Linked DNA regions of Lonchura striata. The protein of the gene in region 1 interacts with the protein of each later gene in a biochemical or structural test. Links are inferred from orthologs where the notes say so. Each region holds a gene or a part of one and is shown in the gene's direction. Other genes may lie near its edges. The genes, in order: NPR2, NPPC and NPPA.

Evidence for each region.
Region 2: the proteins of NPR2 (region 1) and NPPC form a complex in vitro, tested with the Homo sapiens proteins (3 studies listed by BioGRID). The link is inferred for Lonchura striata from reciprocal best matches to the Homo sapiens genes NPR2 and NPPC.
Region 3: the proteins of NPR2 (region 1) and NPPA form a complex in vitro, tested with the Homo sapiens proteins (3 studies listed by BioGRID). The link is inferred for Lonchura striata from reciprocal best matches to the Homo sapiens genes NPR2 and NPPA.

What each region holds. Positions count from the first base shown.
Region 1 is NC_134642.1:39,675,840-39,679,586, forward strand, and holds the start of NPR2 (atrial natriuretic peptide receptor 2), read left to right. Parts: upstream 1-1,208; coding exon 1,209-1,932; intron 1,933-3,747. UniProt on the Homo sapiens protein: Receptor for the C-type natriuretic peptide NPPC/CNP hormone. Has guanylate cyclase activity upon binding of its ligand. May play a role in the regulation of skeletal growth.
Region 2 is NC_134612.1:18,242,182-18,245,928, reverse strand, and holds the start of NPPC (C-type natriuretic peptide), read left to right. Parts: upstream 1-1,057; 5' UTR 1,058-1,086; coding exon 1,087-1,179; exon of another isoform or gene 1,180-1,278; intron 1,279-2,607; coding exon 2,608-2,934; 3' UTR 2,935-2,947; intron 2,948-3,747.
Region 3 is NC_134626.1:5,503,407-5,507,153, forward strand, and holds NPPA (natriuretic peptides A), read left to right. Parts: upstream 1-1,444; coding exon 1,445-1,564; intron 1,565-3,045; coding exon 3,046-3,363; downstream 3,364-3,747.

The sequences.
Region 1 (3,747 bases):
AGGGCATCCCAGTTCTCAGGGTCCAAATCCCCAGGTGCCTCCCTGCATCCCAAATCCCCGAGGACATCTCCAACCTCCTATCCTTCCACCACGGGAGATACCCACAGCCTAAGCACTGGTGGCCCCCACAAGGGAGGCAGACAGATCCCGGGAAACCCCTCCTCAGAGCCTGATTCCTACTTTATCCGAGAACTTAAGACCTCCCAAAAATGCCTTGTGAGGACACTCACACCCAGGATATTCCCTCCCCCTCCAGCTGGCTGTACCCTACAGCTGTGTATCCCTTCACATCCTCACAGCCCTCCCCAGGCTACCCCTTTGCCCCATCATGCACATCCCCCACACCCCACTGACTTCCCCAAACCCTAGGGACCCCCAGCAAGAGACATCCCCTCCCCAGTCCCTAGTCATTGGGGTACCTCAGAACCTGGATGCTCACTCCTTCACTGCAGCTCCGCGAACAGAGAATCTGTTCTCTGTTCTGAACCCCCCACCCGATGGGGACGCTCCAAACTCTAATGCTCCCTCCCCGATTCCCCTCACGGACCCTAGATCCCACGTACACACTCTTCAATCCCTGCCCACTGGAAGCCACAGGCTCTGGGGACCTCCCTCCCTTTATCCCCCGATGTGGCCTCCGAGCCCGGCCCCAACCCCTCCACTCAGAAGCCGGACACCCCAGTCCCCTGCCCCAAACCGATGCCCTCTTCTCCGATTCCCCTCACTGCACCTCACCAGAACCAAAGTACACGTCCCTTGGTCCTCCACCCACTGGGGACACCCCGAACGCGGATGCCCCTCCCTACCTCCCCTCCCGGACCCCCTAAAACACGGGCACCCCCTCCCTCAGTCCCTGCCTACTAGTGGCCGCCGGACCTGCGGACCGCGGTCTCTACTTCCCCGCTGGGGAACACTTCACCAGTCTGGAAGCGAGATACGCCGAACACCCCACCATCCCCCCACCACCCCAACCAGCGCCCCGCTCCCCGCTAGCCCCACCCCTAGCCCCCCCCTTCTCCGGGGACACCGCCCCCCGCCCCGTCGCGGTGCCGCCCATCCCGGTGCCCGTCCGGCCGGGCGGGGACCGGCGGCGCCGCCCCCCGGGGGAGGGCGGTCGGCGGCGGTCGGCGGGGCGGGGGCGCGGCGGGGGCGCGGCGGGGGCGCCGGAGCGGCGGGCGGCGGCCGGGGCGGAGGAGCCAGCGCGGCCCATGGCTCCGCCGCTGCCGCTGCCGCTGCTGGCGCTGCTGCTGCTGCCGGTCCCGACGGGCGCGGGGCGGCGGGCGGCGACCCCCAACGGGGCGCCCGCCAACTTGACGGTGGCGGTAGTGCTGCCGGAGCGCAACGTGAGCTACGCGTGGGCTTGGCCGCGCGTGGGTCCGGCGCTCAGCTTGGCGCTGGAGGCGCTGGAGCGGGGCGAACCGCCGCTGCTGCCGCGGCCCTTCTCGGTGCGCGTCGAGTTCATGAGCTCGGAGCTGGAGGGCGCCTGCTCCGAGTACGTGGCACCGCTCAACGCCGTGGACCTGAAGCTCTACCACGACCCCGACGTGCTGTTCGGGCCGGGCTGCGTGTACCCCGCCGCGTCGGTGGGGCGCTTCGCTTCTCACTGGCGGCTGCCCCTCATCACCGGCGGAGCGGTGGCCGCGGGTTTCAGCCGCAAACGGGAGCACTACAGCACGACGGTGCGCACCGGGCCCTCGGCACCCAAACTGGGCGCCTTCGTCTCCCACCTCCACGCGCACTTCAACTGGAGCGCCCGCGCCGTGCTCCTCTACGTGGACCGCAAGACCGACGACCGACCCTACTACTTCACCGTCGAGGGTGTCTACCAGGAGCTGCAGGATGGCAACAACCTCACTGTCACCGTCCACATCTACTCCCCCGAGGAGGGCGGCCCCGACACTGCCGTCCACTTCATCAAAGCCAACGGACGCGGTGCGTGGGGTGGCGCGGCGTGGGGTGCGGGGGGGACACCGTGACCACGGGCGGGATCGGGCTGAGCGCCCGGGGAGCAGGGGTGGCGGTGTGGGAGTGGGAAGAGGAAGGGAGAGCGGAGGGGGCTCCCCTCGGGAGATCCGCGTAGGGCTTCGAGGGGGGGAGGCAAAATCCTCCGCGGGGCACAGCGAGGGGCTGAGGGTGCGATGGGATCTGTGTGGGGGACGGTGGGGGGCATTGGACCCGTCTGAGGCACAGCAGGGGGAAGGATGGGGTGCAGCAAGGGGACTGGGATACCGTGGACGACATGTATGTAGGGTACAGGAAGGGGTTAAGGGAACAGCAGGACACATCTGGGGCACAAAGAGGGGATGGGGATACAGCGGGACCGCTGCAGGACGCAGCAAAGGATTGGGAATACGGTGGGATGCATGTGTGGCACAAAAAGGGACCAGGGTGGCAGTGGGACCTGTTTGAGGCACACCAAGGGATTGGGGACAATGGAGATCCACACAGGGCACAGCAAGTGTCAGAGAGGGCAGTGAGATACATGTAGGGTGCAGCAAGGAGATGGGAACTGAGTGTGATCATGTGGGGTGCAGCAACAATCCAAGGAGACAGTGGCACCTTTGTGGGGCACCATGACAGTCTGAGGACACAGTGGGACTTGTGAGGGGTCGAGAGCAAAATGGCGCCCTTGTGAGGCACGGCGAGGGAACAAGGATCTGGTGGGACTCATGTGGGATGCAGTAGGGAGTGAGCAGAGTGACACCTGTGGTAGGGCATTGCAAGGGGCCAGAGGAGGAGTGGGACCCCTGTGGAGCACAAGGAGGGGCTGGAGGCACAGTGGGACCCGTCTGGGGCATGAGGATGTTCTGAGGGCACAGTGGGACTTATGTGGGGCACAGGGAGAGGTGGGCAAAATGGGGTCTGTGTGGGGTGCCATGAGGATTGAGAAGATTTGTCACAGTGGGGCTAGAGGAGCAGCAGGACCTGCACAGGAGATGCGTTCACAGGGGACAAGACAGAATCTGAGCCCCTCCCCAGGCCAAAACCTGTATCAGTGGAGGGGCTAGGATGCAGCAGGAGGAGGAGGCACAGTGTCTCCCTCCCAGGCCCCCAGTCCAGTCAACCTTTGCTAACAAAAGCTGGGGCAGACCCCCAGCTTGGTGGGACACGTGCTGTGAGGGGCAGCCTCTGTATTAGCAGGATCAGCGTGACCCAGGCATGTCCTTGGAGGCTGAAGGTGATAGTGAGGATGCAGCTCTCTGGAGAACAGCGTCAGCTGTGGTTACATACCTAGAGAAGCATGATGCCAACATACCTATGTGGTTGTACTGTGCTCAGACAGACACCCCAGAGTGGCACCTGGGCGCCCCAAGGCTGTGCCTTGTCCCTGCTGCACACCCAGGATGGGGCTGTGATAGCCCCACCCTGCTGATGGAGGGATAAATCAATTTGGTGCCATGCGAGTGCCCCAGGAGAGCAGCTATATTGGGAGCGGGAGGAAATGGAGGGCTTACTGAGGCAGCTGGAGAGCAAGGGTAGCCTGATGCTCTTTCATTATTGATGAGCAGGGTGTATCAATCCTGGAGTCAGCCACTCTGCAATGCTTCTTAATGGATTCTGAGATGCTGTGTCATTAGGAAGGACATCTAGCCCAGATAAATGGAGCCAGATGGGCCAGCAGGACTTGTGTCCAAGGCTGGGCAGGACCAGGCTGCAGCAGGGAGGTGCTCTGGGGTGCTGGACTGAGTTCCCATCAGGACTGAGGCCAGTGAGGCTGACTCCATAGAGTGAGCATCCCATGGCTGC
Region 2 (3,747 bases), on another chromosome or scaffold:
GCCAGCAGAGCTCCAGAGCTGCCCAGTGCCAGCCCCAGCAGCAGCAGAGACACAAATCCTGCTCTGCCAGCCAGGAAAGGGGAAGGCTGAGAGCAAGGGGCCTCCTCAAAGGCCCTGTGAACTCCTGGGGTTAATCCCAGGATCACACCTTTCTCCTGTAACCTCTAGCTCTGGGAGCAGGTCAGAGGGAGGCCAGGCTGCACAGCCCTGACATGGGTCAGCCAGTGAGGTCCTGTCCCCACAAGGGACCCTGTGACACTAACTATACCCTGCATCCCCAGGGTGCTTGAAAAGCCCCATCTCCAGGGCCAGGAACACCATCAAGATCCCCCAGAAGCAGAGAGAGCAGGTCAGTCCCGGAGCCAAGAGACCCACTGAGGTGCCCTCAAGAAGCACCATTGTACCCTCCATCTCTTTGTGTCCCCCATATTCCTGTCACAGAAGGCAGTGGCCCTGCTCCTGCCAAGTAGAGACCTGGGAGGCACAGTCTGATCTAATCCTGGATGTGGGAAGAAAAAAAAAAAAAAAAAAAAAAAAAAAAGGTGCTTATTCCTGTTTTTTGGGATGAATCCCGCACCGGGACCACCCCCCCCCGCCCGGCCCGTGTTCTGCCGCGGGAGGTCAGCAGGGCAGTGCGGGGAGCAGAGGGGCGGTGGGGCAGCCGGCAAGGGGAGGGCAGACAGCTTGCAGGGGGGCCGGGGGCGTCTGGGGGAGGGCGGGGGCATCAAGCCAAATGCCCCCCGCTTTCCCTTTCGGGTCTCCAGCTCCCGGAGCTGGTTGTCTTGTGTCATTTGTTACTGCCAGGGGAGAGGGGATACCACCACCCCCCCCCTTTAAATTCCTGCTATTGTGGAGTGCAGACCGGGTTGGACCTGGGTATTTAGATGACATCACCGAGCAGGTTGGGTTATAAAATGAATGAAGCAGAAAGCAGCCCAAGTTCACTAGCTCGGCACTTCGCAGGCGGCAGGAGGGACCTCGGGGCTCCGCTCTGAACTTTGACTCCCGTCGGTCCCGTCCTCTCCCCGGGGCTGCCCTCGGCTCCCCGCTGCCCCCCCCGACCCCCCTGCCGCTCGGCCCCGCAGGATGCAGATCTCACCCTTGCTGGCTGGTGGACTTTTACTCGCGCTGCTCTCCCTCAGGCTGGAGGCGAAGCCGGCGTCTCAGCTCCCACAGAAGGTACGGCTGGAGCTTTCTCCGGCTCTTCCTCCTCTCCCGGTCCCGCTCAGAGTCCTAACGGCACAGGGGGAAACGTGGGGTGCCTGTGGGGTGCCAGAGTCAGTGCAAAGAGGGGTTCTTCTCTCCGCATGGGCTGTTTGACTGCAAGGGGGACTCCCTGCTTCTCCAGGCTGTCCCGAACGTCCGGGGACGTCGCCCCATACCAGAGGCTGAGTGGGACGCGGTGTGCCCCGCAGCCCGCGGGATCGGGGCAGGGGAGGCGGCAGTGTGCCCCCGGAGTCACTCTGGAGACCCCTCTGTGCCGGGCACGGGGGAGGGAGCAGAGCCGGAGCGGGGCAGGCAGCAGGTGCACGGTGGGACAGGGTGCGAGAGCAGAGCCCGCCGGGCAGTCCTGACCAAACAGGCCGGGCAGGGGCACAGAGGTGGGTGTCCCTTCCCCGCGTGTCCCATGAGGAAGGGGCGCCCCAAATGAGAGTGTCCCAGGGATTTGGTTTTCTCGAGATGCTGAGGACGAGGGATGTGCCCGAGGCACCCAGTACTACTGTACTGGGTGGTACTGCCCTGAGGTCTGGCACAGAGATGGAGACACGGTCTGACGAGTGCCCCAGGGCAGCAGTGGGATGGGAGTGGCAGTGTCCCTGTAAGGCACTGGGGTGCAGGCTGAAGAAAAAGTGTTGATACAGGGGGATGTTGGGAAAATGAATGAGGATTAACATTTCCATGGCTTGGTGGGCAGCAGCTCTGAGCAGGGAGAGAGATGGAAGGCCTGGGAGATGGGGGAGCAGTGTGGAGGAGGTGTGTCCCTCTTATTGTAGGTTAGAATTGGAGGATTGGGAGGACACAGAGAGCATTAACTAGGGGAGGGAGCAGCAGGGAGGAGGAACCCTGATCTCCCCACCACTGCTGGGGACAGTCTGCAGTGGTGCACAGGATCTGTGGGGCAGGACCCCTCCCCATAATCTGAAGAGGTCTGTAAACTGGTGTAAACTGATGAGGGATGCAATGACCGAGGGGGTCTGAAATGAAAGGACCTGCCGGCTTTCAGGTCCCTTCAGATAATGGGTTGGGGGAGGACGGGATGGAATGGGACGACAGGATAGTGACAGAAGCGCAGCTGAGGTGTGCAGCACCACCAGCCCTTTGGAGGGGTGGTGTGGATATGCAATGACCGGGACAGGAAGACACCGCTACGGTGTGGGTCAGGGGGATGCTCTGACCCCAGGGAAGGGAGCACAGATTTAGGGAGGGGAGAAAATGCTCTGGCCACAGCCAGAGCGGGGTGATGGACTGCACTGCCGGGCACAGACCCAATCGCGAGTTTGCATCGCAGGGGGGATACACCGACCCCTCTGCGCGTCCCTTACAGGGGGTCCCCAACTCTCATGGGGATCGCTGGGGACGGCAGCTCTGACCCTCTCCCCCCCACAGGCCTCCCGCGGGTCAGCGGCGGCAGCGGCGGCGGCGGCGGCGGCAGCGGGTCCGCCCGAGGCGGCGGAGCGGGAGAAGGAGCGGGAGAAGGAGCGGGAGAAGGAGCGGGAGAAGGAGCGGGAGAAGGAGCGGAGCGGCGGCGGCGGCTCGGGCCCGCGGGAGGCGCGGGAGGCGCGGGCCGAAGCGCGGTCGCGGGCGGGCTGGGCGCGGCTGCTGCAGGACCCGCCGGGCCGCCGCCACAAGGGCCTCCACAAGAAGGGCCTGGGCAAGGGCTGCTTCGGGCTCAAGCTGGATCGCATCGGCGCCATGAGCGGCCTCGGATGCTGAGGGACCCCTGGCGGTGAGTGCGCGGCCGGGCCGGGCCGGGGCCGGGATGGGCCGGGGGCCGCGCTCCGGTACCGCGGGGCGTGCGGAAGATGCGCTGCCCTGCGAACGCGAGATGCCAGCGCACGGGACTGCAGGTGTTCGTCCCGCTGAGCCTCGCAACCTCTGGCTTTGCTGGCAGGTAAAGAGGAGGACCCCAAAGCTGGCCTTATTACATTCCCGTCCGGAATCCACCGGCCCTCTCTCTGCCTTACCCTGCAGAAGGGTCAGAGACCTCAGCTGCTTCTGCAGCAGTTCAATCTGGATTCCCCCTAATTTGAGCTAGATCCCTGGGCTCCGGGGAGGATGCAGGAGGAGCTCTGGTGCAGCCACAGGTTTCTAGTTGCCCTCTCTGCTTGAAACACTTAGGTGAGCTATGGATAGGTGTTAGGAGGGCAGGGTACCCCCTGTGTGCCTGCAGTTGGAGAGTTTAGTGAGGCTCCTGTCTCAGCCATGCTCCAGTGCTTTTAAGGACAAACAACACATAAGTTCCTCAGGTGTCTTCTAGGTGTGGTGACAGCCATGAGTAGCACTTTCCTAACTGCAGTTTTGTATCTGAGAAAGTTATGGGAAGCTGGGAGAAGTTCCTCCCACAGTGCTTCACAGCCACTGTGCAGCAACCAATGCGTGAAGGAGTGGCTTCCCCAGAGTGATGGGTTGGGAAAAACATGGCAGTGCCTCCCCTGCCAGGTCTCCCTGCGGGTGCTGGGGACAGTGAGGTATGGTTCTGGCCTGGCCCTGCCAGCAGGACACACACAGATGAACTCACACTTCGGG
Region 3 (3,747 bases), on another chromosome or scaffold:
ACACCCATGTTAAGACATTTAGGACATGGGAAATACTTTACCATTTTATTATTAATTTGAAAGTGTACTCAGAAGATTCTTTCAAGATCTATGTTCATATGAAAAGCCAACAAATTATTACTAGACTGACATTCAACTTACCCCTACATTTGTTTTTGTTTCAATTTAAAATAACAAGAAACATTAGGAAAATGAAAAAAAAAAAAAAAGCCATTGCTTCGTGATTTAGAACTCTCTTGCATTCCTGTAAAAAGATTGATTTTTAGTTATACTATATGTACAAAGACAAAAAACGGAAGAGAAATCAGAAGTATTTCTGTACTTTCATAATTTCTCATCTAGAATAGGAAGTTTCTAGCTAATTTTAAGACATTCAGCACTTAAAGAAATATTTTTAGTTTTTAATATATTTCAGATTTTATTTTAACTCCTCACAAAACACACATATATACAAATCCATCCATTCTTTCTTTGGGATAGATTCTGAATAATACCAGCTATCTATTTAAGTTCTCATTGAACAAGTTTCTTTCTTGTATGATGGTAAAATAAGATTATTGCTGAAACTGGCTGCCTGTTCTTTAAATTTTCTTTATGCAGGGTCAAGCCTTACCATCAATGCTTACAGAAATCCCATTTTCAGTCCCAGAAATTGAATTTTTATAAACACTAGTGTTTTTCAGCGGTGCCGGAGCCGGCTGTCACGGAGGCTGGAGGCTCTCCCCACAGGCACAGCACTGAGGTGCAGATCGAGGTGCTGCTCTTGTTGGTAACACACAAATACAAAATCTCAGTGGTGATATCACCTCAGTAGCAATGGGAAAAGTGGCCCAAATCTGGGATTTTCGGCACACTCTCTGGTATGCGGTAGCTGCACATATTCCATATATAGAAGGGAAGTGTGCACAATAGTTTAGGTGTCCTGAAAGATGATTTATCTTCATTCTTGACTCTTCACCAAATACTCATCTGAAAGCTCGTTGTTTCCCCTGTAAAAGGCCATTTCCTTGTGGAAATCTTCAAATTGAGCAAAGTTGAGAGCAGTTCTGGGATTGTTTCCCATCTCTGTAAATCTGACCATAGGGGTCTCTTGAAAGAGAATTGCTAAGAATTTCCAACTGGACTATGTAATCAGAGCGCCTGGTATCAAGAGGAGGGGGAGTGACATGAAATCACTGACTTGTGACATACATTCCTCAGCAACAGCAGCTGCTGCCTAATGACAGCTAATAAAGGGAATCTTCCCTTGACAGAGCTGCATGCCTCCAGTGGGACTGGAATGTGCCCAAGATAAACCCACTGATAACCTAGGAAGCAGGGATCACCCAAAGAGTATAAAAGATGAGCTTCAGAAGAGACACAACAGGACAAGGAAGAAAGAGACTTGAAGGGACATCTCAGAAGAAACAGCTTGAACTTCCCTATTCCCAACAAAGTCAGCGCCATGGACACTAAAGGCTCATTTTTCTATGGCTTCCTTTTGCTGCTGCTCATCCAGCTCCAGCCCAGCAGAGCCAACCCCATCTACAGCCTCAGCCCTGCCAAAGAACTGGCCAGCATGGAGGTGAGGAATCTCATTTTTCAAGGTTAAACTTTTGGGGTGCTTAGCAGAGTGTGAGGTGGTGCTTTGCCTTCCTTTTGCATGGTTGCATGGCAATAATGCATCAGCCATCACATGCTGGGGCACAAAGCCTCAGCTTTTCAAAGGGGTTCAGAGAAGCTCTGCAGGGCAATATCCTCCCATGCTGGGTTCACCCGAGCTCCTGGGCAGTTGTGGGAACCAAATTGTGATGTTGTAGGATGTCTGCTTTGGTGTTTTGATTCTTTTTCTTTTAAAGATAAATCTTCTTGGGAACTAAGTTCCAGGGGAGGAAAAAATCATCAGAGTAGCTCCATAGGAACAAATAGAAAACTCTGAGGTGGGGTCCTGATATATGTATACCCCTGCTCCATATGGCTCTAGCTTTGTGAATTTGAGAGATCTGGTTGTGTATGGATGAAAGATGAGGAGGTAAAGTGGAGCACCCAAAGACAAACTTTTATAAATATTACTAGAGGAATAACACAATCATTTAGTGTGGCTCATCTAGAAAAGCTTTCGGAGCTATAAAATTACCGCTAAGCATTTTAAAAAATAATAGAGAAAATCCATTGTTACAGCACAGTACAAGCTTGAGACTCTGATGGGATCTGAAACTCAAACCTTTCCTTGGGCTGGTTGGTACCAGTAACCAGCTTCTCAAAGCTGTTCTCAGGCCTAAGAACAAACTCCCTGAGCTTATAAGGACAATTGAAGCTAAAGCTGCCTCTGGGCTGTTTCCAGCAGCTAGGAAGAGTGGCTTCCAAATGCACTCACTATCAGGCAAGCCACAAGGCTCATTCCTCTATATTCATATTCTAGAGTTGGGCAATTAAATTCCTCTAATTGGATGAGGTGCCCTTGAGGAGGTTATCTGACCCCAGTTACACAAAGCTTTACAAATTACCAAGAATGGTACCCAGGAAGCAATCATACAGCAGGCATGAATTTACCATACACGTATTTTCAGTTACTTTTAGGAGTAGCAATCCTGTAATCCCAGGGGCAGAAAATACTGAAAACACCTAGAGCTTCTCCAAGTGATGTGATTGAAATAGCCAGGGGTGACAAAGCAGCAACTTCAGAGAATGTGGGAGTGGGCTATGTGGCTAGAGGTTCTCTCAGACTGTACCACCAGTGGGCTGAGTGGACCCGGTGAAACTCATATCTTGCATTTTCTTCTCTGCCAAGATGTCTTCTAAATTTACCAGTAAGATACACATGATGGCAAGAAGCTTCATTTAGTTCACAAGGTGAAGCTATGTCGTCCCATAGATGGAATTACTGTGAATAGGGATATAATGCAGAGGACAGAACTCAACGACCACCAGGAAGGCTGGGATCCAACCTGTCAGTCTCCCTAGGGTGGGCTATGGGACCATCGATGAAAACGGAACAGAATGACTGGAAGAGTTAGCAAATGACCACAAAACAAGGAATTTCATTATTTAATCCTTCTCTTATAGGCTCTGCTGGAAAGACTGGAGGATAAGTTTGCAATGATGGAAGCCCTGGAGTCCAATCCTGACCTGCAAGAACCCAAAACCCAGGAGGAGATCCCGTCGGAACTCGCCGATGACAGTGACAACCAGAAGGCTGAACCCAGGCTTGCACCCAACACCCCTCTGTCCTACAGGGACCCCTTCCTCAAGAGACTGAGGGGGCTGCAGATGCCCAGGATGATGAGAGATTCTGGCTGTTTTGGCAGGAGGATTGATCGGATCGGCTCCCTGAGTGGGATGGGCTGCAACGGTGAGTCCTGTCTAAGCCATTTCACCGCATAGCACAGACCGTGTCCGTGCCAAGGGACAGGGAAGGAGCAGCTTCTTATTTAAGTTTTTAAGAAGACACAGTTTCAGAATGGAATTAATTTGAGCCTAGTATTTAAGCTAGTATTGGTTTTTCAATTGTGACACGTACCAGAGATTTTGTGACACAAAACCAGATTTTAGTAACATTTATTTCATGTTTGGTTTGCAGGTTCCCGGAGAAATTAGGATCAACCTCCCTAGAACCTGCTCTGAAGAATGCTTTACAGTACCCCCTTCCTCCCAAGATGAAAGCCAGATGCTTTCTAAGCTCCTCAACAGAAAGTTATTACTATTTTTATTTATTTATTTATTTATTTATTTGATGTTTTTTTAAAGAACATTTCTTACGCTAGCACT